2 linked regions of the Oryzias latipes genome follow. The protein of the gene in region 1 binds, or shares a complex with, the protein of each later gene. Links are inferred from orthologs where the notes say so. Each region holds a gene or a part of one and is shown in the gene's direction. Other genes may lie near its edges.

Region 1 (3,780 bases):
CACTCTGCATGCCATGCTTGACTGATGTGGACTGAGGCCCACTACCACCTCTACACTGAAGGATAAATCCATTTATCAGAGGATGGAGGGACACCAATCCAATTTAAGGACACAGCTTCTTCACCTTTTCTGCTCTTGACTGCTGTAGTTTATCTTCTACACATTTAGATTGAAGGTTTGCAGAAGGAGAAGGCCCCCGGCTCTGCCAGACCATCCAGAGCAGACGGCATGACGCCAATATTCAGCTACAGCTGCCCTTCAACATTAGCAAAGTTCTAGTTTATGCTAAATGTGTGCAGAAACTAGTGTTTTATTCTGCATTCAGTCCAGATTTCAGCTGGACTCCATGTTGGATCACTGGCTCTGTCTACATTTCCTCCCTAACGACTAAAAACAACTCCTGGATTTTTAAAAGCCATCCGGACAGCATGGACATTGATTTGTGTTACATTTTAAACGACAACCTAATACATTCACGCATTTTACGAAGACCATTGATGAATCCACTGGAGATGAAAAAATAAAAGAAATACTTTTTATTCCACTTGAAAAATTCCTCTAAGGCAGGGGTCAGGAACCTTTTTGGCCAAGAGAGCCACAAATGCCACATATTTTGAAATGTAATTTCGAAAGAGCCATACAATAATGTAGTGTCCTTTCCCCACACTGAGGCACGGAGACTTAACCTCTTTTAAAGTTCTTTATTCCGATTACTGCAGACCGCAACAAACGCCGTTCAATTAATTCAGCAACTCCTGAATCTCTCCCGCCGACACGAGAGCGCTTCTCCCAACTTTATATTCACCTGCTCCCGCTCCAGCCCTCCCATTTCCCTTATTCGGCCCATAGCTGAACCCCATTGGTCCAAACTACCTAACAACAGGCTGAGCGACAGAACTGAGGGCCAATCAGATCTCTGCTTGACGCGTTCAATGAACTCCAGAACTTTTAACGCGGCCCGACAGCCATCCAACTCAGTCCGCGACAATTTGTTTAAAACTAAATATACAAGTGAATGTGTGCATTTGATTTAATTTCAACATTTTTAAAGTACAATAAGTCTGTGGATTCTTTTTAATAACATTGTTATGCTGTTGCTAATAAATGATGAGTATTTCTCGTGGTAGTTTTGCTGATGGTCTAGTCTGGTTGATACGTGGTGAGTTTCTGCTTCATGCAGGCGTTGAGACTTTAAACGTGATCTTAGGTTTGAATGTTCTGTAGATGTGAGACAGACTGATCACATGCAGACGGGGAACCAAACACACACTCACACGCTGCAGTGAGTGACGGGCAGCGGGTTTTATGTTATTACAATCCCTGCACGATTCACCTGCTGCCTGTCCCCACAACCCCTCACCCCCACCCTCTGCTTTCTTCCTCACACATCCCGTCTCCGCAACTGCGCGCTCTTTCTCAGAGACGGGAGCGCGCAGTTTTAGGCACGGCAATTCACAGGTTTCCAGTTGGTACAAACTCTGTGAAATTATAGATAATAGTAACTTATAGCGCTGGCGCAGATTTCTCTCTCTAAGCACCGCTACTACTGCGCGCCTCTGGCATCGCATCGCGCCCGAGAAGGACTGGACTAATGAAAAAAAAAAAAAGTATAATTAAAGATTTGTCTGCGAGCCACATGTGATCATCAAAAGAGCCATATATGGCTCGCGAGCCATAGGTTCCCGACCCCTGCTCTAATCCAAGGCATTATGGGCTATATTCACCAATTTAGTGAGCATGCTTACTGGCTTTTCACAGTAACTGCTAAAAGATTCCTCTGTAATCTGTAATCCACTGAGGAACGATTGAAGGACTTTTGGGTCAACGTTGGGAGAAAACATGGAGGAGGCCAACGCTGATGGCTGCACTGATAGAGTGAGTGTTTTGATGGAGGCGGGAACATCCCCTCTCTGTCATTCCTGCAGCCAATCGCACTGCAGAGAGGTATTTAGATGAGTCTGCACCCAATCCCAGACGTCCACAGGCTGGAACTAAACTCTGGCTCCAGAATGATGTCAGAGAGGAGCGAGTCGTCCTGAGGTCAACCTGAGGTCATCTGTGGAGTTAGATTGAATTTCCTGATGGATCCAAACCGACTAACAACAGCAGTTAAACCATTGGATGATATTTAAAGCCTGACTCCATTTCAAAGGACTTTCCAACAATAGAACATGTCAGCAAACAGTGTTTCTGTGCATGAAGCTCTAGAGGCACCTAAGGAAAAAGGTCTTTCTGTGTTTCAGTGCTAAATGTCTCCTGCGCTCAGACCCCCCCTCGCTCCCCAGCCCTCACAGACCTGTGTCTTTGCAGCTGTGGACATCTGTATCACCGCTCATGCCTGCAGCAGAAGGACTTGGCTTCAGAGCAGTGGAGGTGCTGCAAGTGTTCCTCCAGCCACATGCTGAAGAGGGGCCCTGCAGGGAGGCCCAGCCGCAGCCGCAGCACCTCCCTGGCTCAGGTTGGTGCTTTTTTATGATCCCGCCCACAAACGCATGGCGCGCACACACACTGGCTTTGTTATTCTGTCACGTTTTAGCTTAAAAAAGGCGACTAACGGGCAGGAAATGTGTGAAACCAAACCACTCATTTATTTCCCCCACGAATAACAGTCGTGCAACCAGCATTTCAAACATTGTAACCATTTTCTCTCAGGTTTGAGAGACTTTGTTAATATCAGATGCACCAAGCAATTCCACTCCAAACCTTTAAGAAGTTGTTAGACAATTCTGGTTGCTGATGTGAACCACCTGGATCAGGGTGGAGACCAGGAAGGAGGACGTAAACAACTGTTTTTTAATTAAATTAGTCAGGACTGTTAATAAGCAGTTTAGCCCTTGTGCCATCTTGTGGGGTCCAGATGACCCCACTCCCAACGCTAACATGCCTCCAAGGCATGTTAGCGTTGGGAGTGGGGTCATCTGGACCCCTCAAGAAGGCACAAGGGATAAAAGCCATTTTGACTTAGTAAAAGAAGCATTTGAAGATGGCATGGATGTGAGTAACCCTCTGAGTAATGCAGCCCTCAACCTATACCGCCGTTTAGCCCCTCCCTCTTCAGTACACGCCCTGCTTCCATGTTACCCACCAAAGTGGATTTCAACAGAACATTTCTCACAGTTTAGATCTCCACAGATCAAACCAGGTGGATTTACAGGTAAGTGAGCTGGGGGGGGGGGGGGGGGGGGGGGGGGTCTCTCACAGACCCACTCATGTACCACCTTTATCCTCACAGATGATGAAACTGAAAAAAGATGTTTAGCAGCTGTTGGTCACACGTCTTCCCTCTGTGCTCCAGACTCATGTTGCATCCGGCCATCATGACGCAGCAGCAGCAGCTCACAAGAAGAGGGTAGGTTTCATCCACCAATTATAATTTGATAGTTTTTCAGCAATAAAAGAAAAATCACAAAAATGTGGGAGAGATCAGGTGACTCTACATCCTTTTCAGGATTCTGATCATGGAGTTTGGGACTAGAGTTTGCTGGAAACTAAATGTTCTTTTTTAGGTGGAGAAAAGGCCCAAAGTAATCAGATAAACGGGAAGCTTTTGTTCAGATCACACAGGAAATGCAGCGTTACTCTGCTGCTGCTGTTGTCATCACGTTGTTGTTGTGCTCAGGTTCTGGCTGCAGCCACGTTGGACCTACAGCAGGAGCAGTCCTGGGATCTGACCCGCTGCCTGTTCAGAGGACCGGCCCGGGTACGCCACGCTCCAAACGGCCTTGCCCAAAAGAAACCTACTGTTTTGGGGAGATTTCTCTCCTTCTGCTGGTCTCAGAT
Region 2 (5,439 bases), on another chromosome or scaffold:
TGTCTCACATACATAAAATAAAGCTGAAGCTTTCTGAAAATTGCATGTTATTGTACTTTGTTCCTCATATGGGTGACAATAGTTTAAAACAAAAAGTCCATGTATGTCTAACATTCTTATTACTTATGCATGTTATTTAATGAGGCGTATTATTTAAACAGCCTGATAATTCTATACAAACATATTCCAATTTTTAATTTATAGGAAAGAAAAATCTAATCCGAATGTGAAGACTACAGTTTCATCTTTCTTCACTAAATTGTAGCTTAAGACTGAATAAATGTATATCCAATATGTTCAAATTGACACGCGTGTTCCTCACAAACACGCAAAAAAGTGATCAGGTCACAGCTTGTGTGACTCAACATCTTCACTAGACATGTAACCTTTACAGTATCATGATCCTATACTGAATGTTGGCCAGTCATGTTCCTTGGCTTGTGCCCATTGGTTATTCCACTGAAGGAAAACAAACCTGATGCATGACATTACCTTTAAAATTTTTTATCACCAACTTCTTTGAAGCTCCCGTTTTGCCCGATGCTAGAGCGGCTGTCCTGGCCATCCCGTTGGTGCTGAGCTCCGTTAAAGCGGAGAAGCTGGCCCTCTTGTTCTGTCGTGTGTCCTCTGCCATTATCTGATTAGCACTTTGGCTTAACGTAGTATGGTTCAAGTGTTTTGCTAAATTAGTGCTGGATTGGCCTGTTAACCCACTAACAACAATACTGACTTTTTTGTTGAGCAAACTCTTTTTGGTTATATGCACAGAAGGCAGTATTCTATTTTAAACTAAAGTACATACTTAGAGCGACGTACAAAGAGTAAGTTAATCAGAAAACATAACTATAGCCAGCTAGGAGGTAAACACACAGTTAGCTAACGGTGTGTTACCAAAACTCCACTTGAGCGACCAGTTTTCGTCCAAATCACAACACTTTAGCTTTAAACGCTAGTCTACGTCAGTGATAACTACGTCCATATTTTAACAAAATCGTTTACTAAGTTTGACAAAAGTAAAACAAAATCTAATCGCGGCATAATTACCGTGCATTTAACAGAATAATGTGTGTGCTGCTCTATTTACCATTTAGCTAGCTAGCACAACAAAATGGCTTTTCTCGAACAGTTGAGCTGGGCAGGTGCATCTTGGGTGAAAAGCAGCCAAGCTGCGTTCAAGAGCACAACTTCTGTCTTGTTATTATTATTATTATTACGTTTTTTATCATTACAGACATATTCAAACATGCCAAATTACTTCCCTGCCAGTACGTTCCCCCCCCCCTCACTGAGATCCTTCCCTGCAAGTAAGTGCAAGGCGGAGGAAAAAACAAAACTTAAAAATCTTAACGTCCTGAAAAATGAATTTAAATGACTTAAATCAATTTTTTAAAACTTGAATGCGTATTTAATCAACCAGTTTATAAACATTCAACATTATTATAATGTTTATTTATTGTTAATCTATTGTTAATCGAAATTAAATTACAGAGGAGGTCAATTTCTCAAAGCTACGCCTACAGTACAAGCAAAACGGTTTGTTTTTTTTCTGCGCGTGTTTAGTTTGATCTAAAATGGTTGATTTAAAAAGTATTTTCTTGATTCTAAATTTCAAGATGCTATTCAACTAAAACTAAAATATACAAAAATTTGAAGCAGAAAATAAAACGTTTTTTTCTTGCTAAATCACTGTCGCGCTTGTGTGTGATCTTGAACGCAGCTCTAAATCACCTGCAACCAGAGAGGGGGGGTTCTAGTGCAAATGGGCGGTGTTTCCCCGTGGATAAGGAAGACGTAACACTAAGCAAACATATTCTTTCTGTGGATGCAGTTAAATCGAGCACCATGACTGTAACCACGTTTAACCATAAAAACATGGCACGGTGACAGTCTCCGATTCAGTAAGCGTCGCTCGTGGGTCGTGCTCCGTCGTCAGCAGCGGTAAGTACGGTGGCTGCTGCTAACGCCGACAACTAGTCTGTGGCAAACCGGGCAGGGAGTTGGTCGGTAGCGCCTCTGGAGAGTGGAGCCCGATTGGAAATCCTCTGTCTTTCTTTGCGGGGACACCCTTACGGCATCTCGTTTAGATGCACGAACAGCTTTTTGTGTTTTAGACTGGTATTAATTCATAGTTAGCTGTAATTAGCTAGCTAACATTAGCTTTGCCTGTTAAGCTAATGGGAGCTTTTTAAAGTAGTCCAGGGAAACCCAACGTGGAAAATTCTGTCTTTTGATTAGCAGAAAAATCTCGACCCAAAACATAACTTTTAGATGCAATTTGTTTTTGGTGCTATGACATTTTGCTAATGCCAGTCCTCAATAAAAGAGGAGGTCATGAAAGTAAACAAACATTATCGTGTAATGTCAGTCAGTTAGCCAAGTTACAGTCTGACAGGAAATCCCTACATTTGAAACGAGGATTCAGCTTTAAAAAAGGGAAGTGACAACAGAAGACAGGTTAAAGTTGTACTGCTTGACCGTCGGGATCGTACAAATACACGTCAGTTAAAAATAATAAAACTTCAGTTAAAAACAAAAAAACAAAAACAGTGCTGGTCATAAAATGAAAACACGTGCTATCATATGACAAATGAAGCTAGTTGATGATTTGTAGACCTGTGAATCAAGCAGCTACAAGGACAAAAACGGATCCATTTTTGTTTCAAAGCAGCACAAAAATAAAACGGGAAAGCTAATAATAATATTGCATAATAATTTCAAATACTTTTGTTCAGTTTGTCTCATTTATAGTTTAATTATCTTCCATTTGATTTGGATTTGTGTGATTTATTCTAAGCTTGTGTACAATTATTCAAGATATCGCACAATATTACAAAATTGTTATGTATACAATGCCATACAATTACATATTAATACATATAATACAGATGCATAATTATTGCATCATTTGTTATCTGTTCAAATATTTAGACTACCGCTACTTGAATATCATTACATATTACCTGAATATCAAAATTATTCCTTTACTTGTTTCACGGTCCCTTTCCTTATAGCTCATATGTTGACAGTAGCCTCTCCTTCTATTTTGCTTTAAAATATTCAGTGTCTGGGCATTTATGACATAATACTGGGATGTAATTTTTGTTGGATGTATGTGATGTTGATTGGTTATTTTAATTGTAGTGTCGATGCCGTGGCTGAGATGAGTGTGAAGGCCTTCGAGCTCGTCCCGGCTGTGGAGCGAGACCTCCTCATGGGCGACAAAGCCCGCATCAACATCGAGTGTATTGAATGTTGTGGCAAGCACCTGTACGTCGGCACCAACGACTGCTTCATTCACCACTTTCTCCTCGACGAGGTCGCCTCGCCCATGGGGAAGCTGAGCTACTCAGCTCAGAAGCTTCTGAACAAATACTTGGGCCTGAAGAAACCGGTGGCTGAGCTGCGGGCTGCTTCTGCTTTGGAGCGCCTGATCGTGCTTTGTGATGGGATGGTATTTCTTGTAGACATGGTGACTCTGGAGAGCGTGCCCTCAGCGGCAGGAGGCGGAGTGAAGATCAGAGGAGTGATTGCCTTCTGCGTAAACGAGAACCCGGTGAACGGGGATCCGTTCTGCGTGGAAATGGCCATACTCTCCTCAAAGAGGCGAACCGTGCAGATTTACATGGTGCACAAGGACAGGGTGCAGCTGGTCAAGGAGGTGTCCACTCCGGAGCAGCCCTGCGCCCTCAGTCTGGATGGTTACTTCTTATGTCTGGCCCTCACCACACAATACATGATTCTGAACTACAACACAGGAGCCTCTCAGGACCTGTTCCCCTACAACAGTGAGGAGAGGAGGCCCATCGTGAAGAGGATCAGCAGGGAGGAGTTCCTCCTGGCTGCACCCGGGGGTCTCGGTAAGTTGCTACACGAGCATTTTTAGGAGAAGATGCTTGATTGACACGCAGCTTAACGTCAAATCGCGTCTCCGCTTTGTGACTTCCAGGAATGTTTGCCAATGCAGAGGGGGTATCTCAGCGGGCTCCGGTCAGCTGGTCAGAGAGCGTGATTGCTGCGGCTGTGAGTTTTCCCTACGTGGTGGCTCTGGATGAGAATTTCATCACCATCCACAGCATGCTGGACCAACAGCTAAAGCAGACTCTGTCGTTCAGGGACGGACACATACTGCAAGACTTTGAAGGTGCGCTTTCTTACGGGCTTTCTCTTTCGCATTTCTCATCAGTTTAATTTATTGAAAGAAACCATGACGACCAAGGCGATGTCAGAGTAGTTCTCAGAAGTTAGAAGGTTTGAAACCTTACTTTCAATTGTTGGTGTCTGTTCACTAAAGCGCAGCAGTGTTTCCGCAGTGTGCACTTCTTGTCCTTGAGACATATATGCTGTTCCTAGAAGGAGAGTGCACCTGACTCCATGAAAGACGCCATAATACCACCACACACACATCCACGTCTGTGCTAAGGCACTGTTTTGTGAAAAGTACAAAAACCCACAGAAAATGAAATGATGGCAGCAACTTGCAGGCATGGTTGAAATCCAGACTTGGAAGTGAATACTTTAGTTTTATTTTCATAAAAATCTCATTACATTTTGACAAAATATTGAGGCCGTTTAGCCATTTTCTTCAAAAAACCGTTAACCTTTCTGAAGAAGAATCAGGAATTACTGTACTCTTTTGTGAATCTTTCTGCCTTTCAATGAGAATAAAGATTTTAGTAAAAGATGTTTTTTTTTCTTTTTGTATAAGTTTTAGCAGGATCAGTGTTAGGTGTTAATGGCAGGAGGGAGGACATTAGTCAAGTTTTTTTCTTTAATAATTCGGAGCAGCTTATTTCCGTGCTGAGTTTGTGAGTCGTATATAACAAGAGTCGACCTTCTGTGGTAGCAGACCCATTGCACGCTACATGTCTCCGACTGACTGGTGATTGTTTTGAAAATAAAGCAGACATGTCTAATCACTACGCTGCAGCAGAACGATCCTCTTCAGCAAATGAAATTCCTGACGTTGTGACTTCAGTGTTACTCATTTGGGTTATTCTAATAGTTTATTTCTAAGAGAAACCAGAAATTTTGCTGTCTTAAATAATTTTAAGGCTCAAATGTGGCTCTGAAAGCTCTGTATGAAATCAGCATTTAGTTGAAAATATTATCAGAACAACTGGAATTTTGGTTAAAAGTTTTTTTCAGGGAAACCTGAAAATACGAATCAATAAACACTGGCCTCTTGAAATGAGGTGTTTAAATATGACAGTAAGTATGACCGCTCTCAGCTTCTTTAGCCTGAAGTTTTGCTTTTGTTTGCATGGAAGTGAATGAAGAGGCTGGAATTGATTTTAACTGCAGTGTCAATCAGGAGTAAGGGAGGTATTGGTTTTACTTGTTTATCTTCCTATTTAGTAGAATACAGTTTAAAAAGTTTTACACTTTAAATGTAATCTTTTAAAATTTTTAATAACAACACATCAACAATTTTTTCCTCAT

Evidence for each region. The genes of interacting proteins can lie anywhere in the genome.
Region 2: vps8 (region 1) and tgfbrap1 share a complex: the UniProt entries of both Homo sapiens proteins name them as parts of the putative class C core vacuole/endosome tethering (CORVET) complex. The link is inferred for Oryzias latipes from reciprocal best matches to the Homo sapiens genes VPS8 and TGFBRAP1.

What each region holds. Positions count from the first base shown.
Region 1 is NC_019877.2:24,391,221-24,395,000, reverse strand, and holds part of vps8 (vacuolar protein sorting-associated protein 8 homolog), read left to right. Parts: intron 1-2,243; exon of another isoform or gene 2,244-2,310; coding exon 2,311-2,458; intron 2,459-3,295; coding exon 3,296-3,349; intron 3,350-3,619; coding exon 3,620-3,700; intron 3,701-3,780. UniProt on the Homo sapiens protein: Plays a role in vesicle-mediated protein trafficking of the endocytic membrane transport pathway.
Region 2 is NC_019861.2:16,417,827-16,423,265, reverse strand, and holds the start of tgfbrap1 (transforming growth factor-beta receptor-associated protein 1), read left to right. Parts: upstream 1-1,726; 5' UTR 1,727-1,938; intron 1,939-3,141; 5' UTR 3,142-3,160; coding exon 3,161-3,857; intron 3,858-3,946; coding exon 3,947-4,141; intron 4,142-5,439. Other genes in the region: cullin-4A, read right to left, coding at 493-634. UniProt on the Homo sapiens protein: Plays a role in the TGF-beta/activin signaling pathway. It associates with inactive heteromeric TGF-beta and activin receptor complexes, mainly through the type II receptor, and is released upon activation of signaling.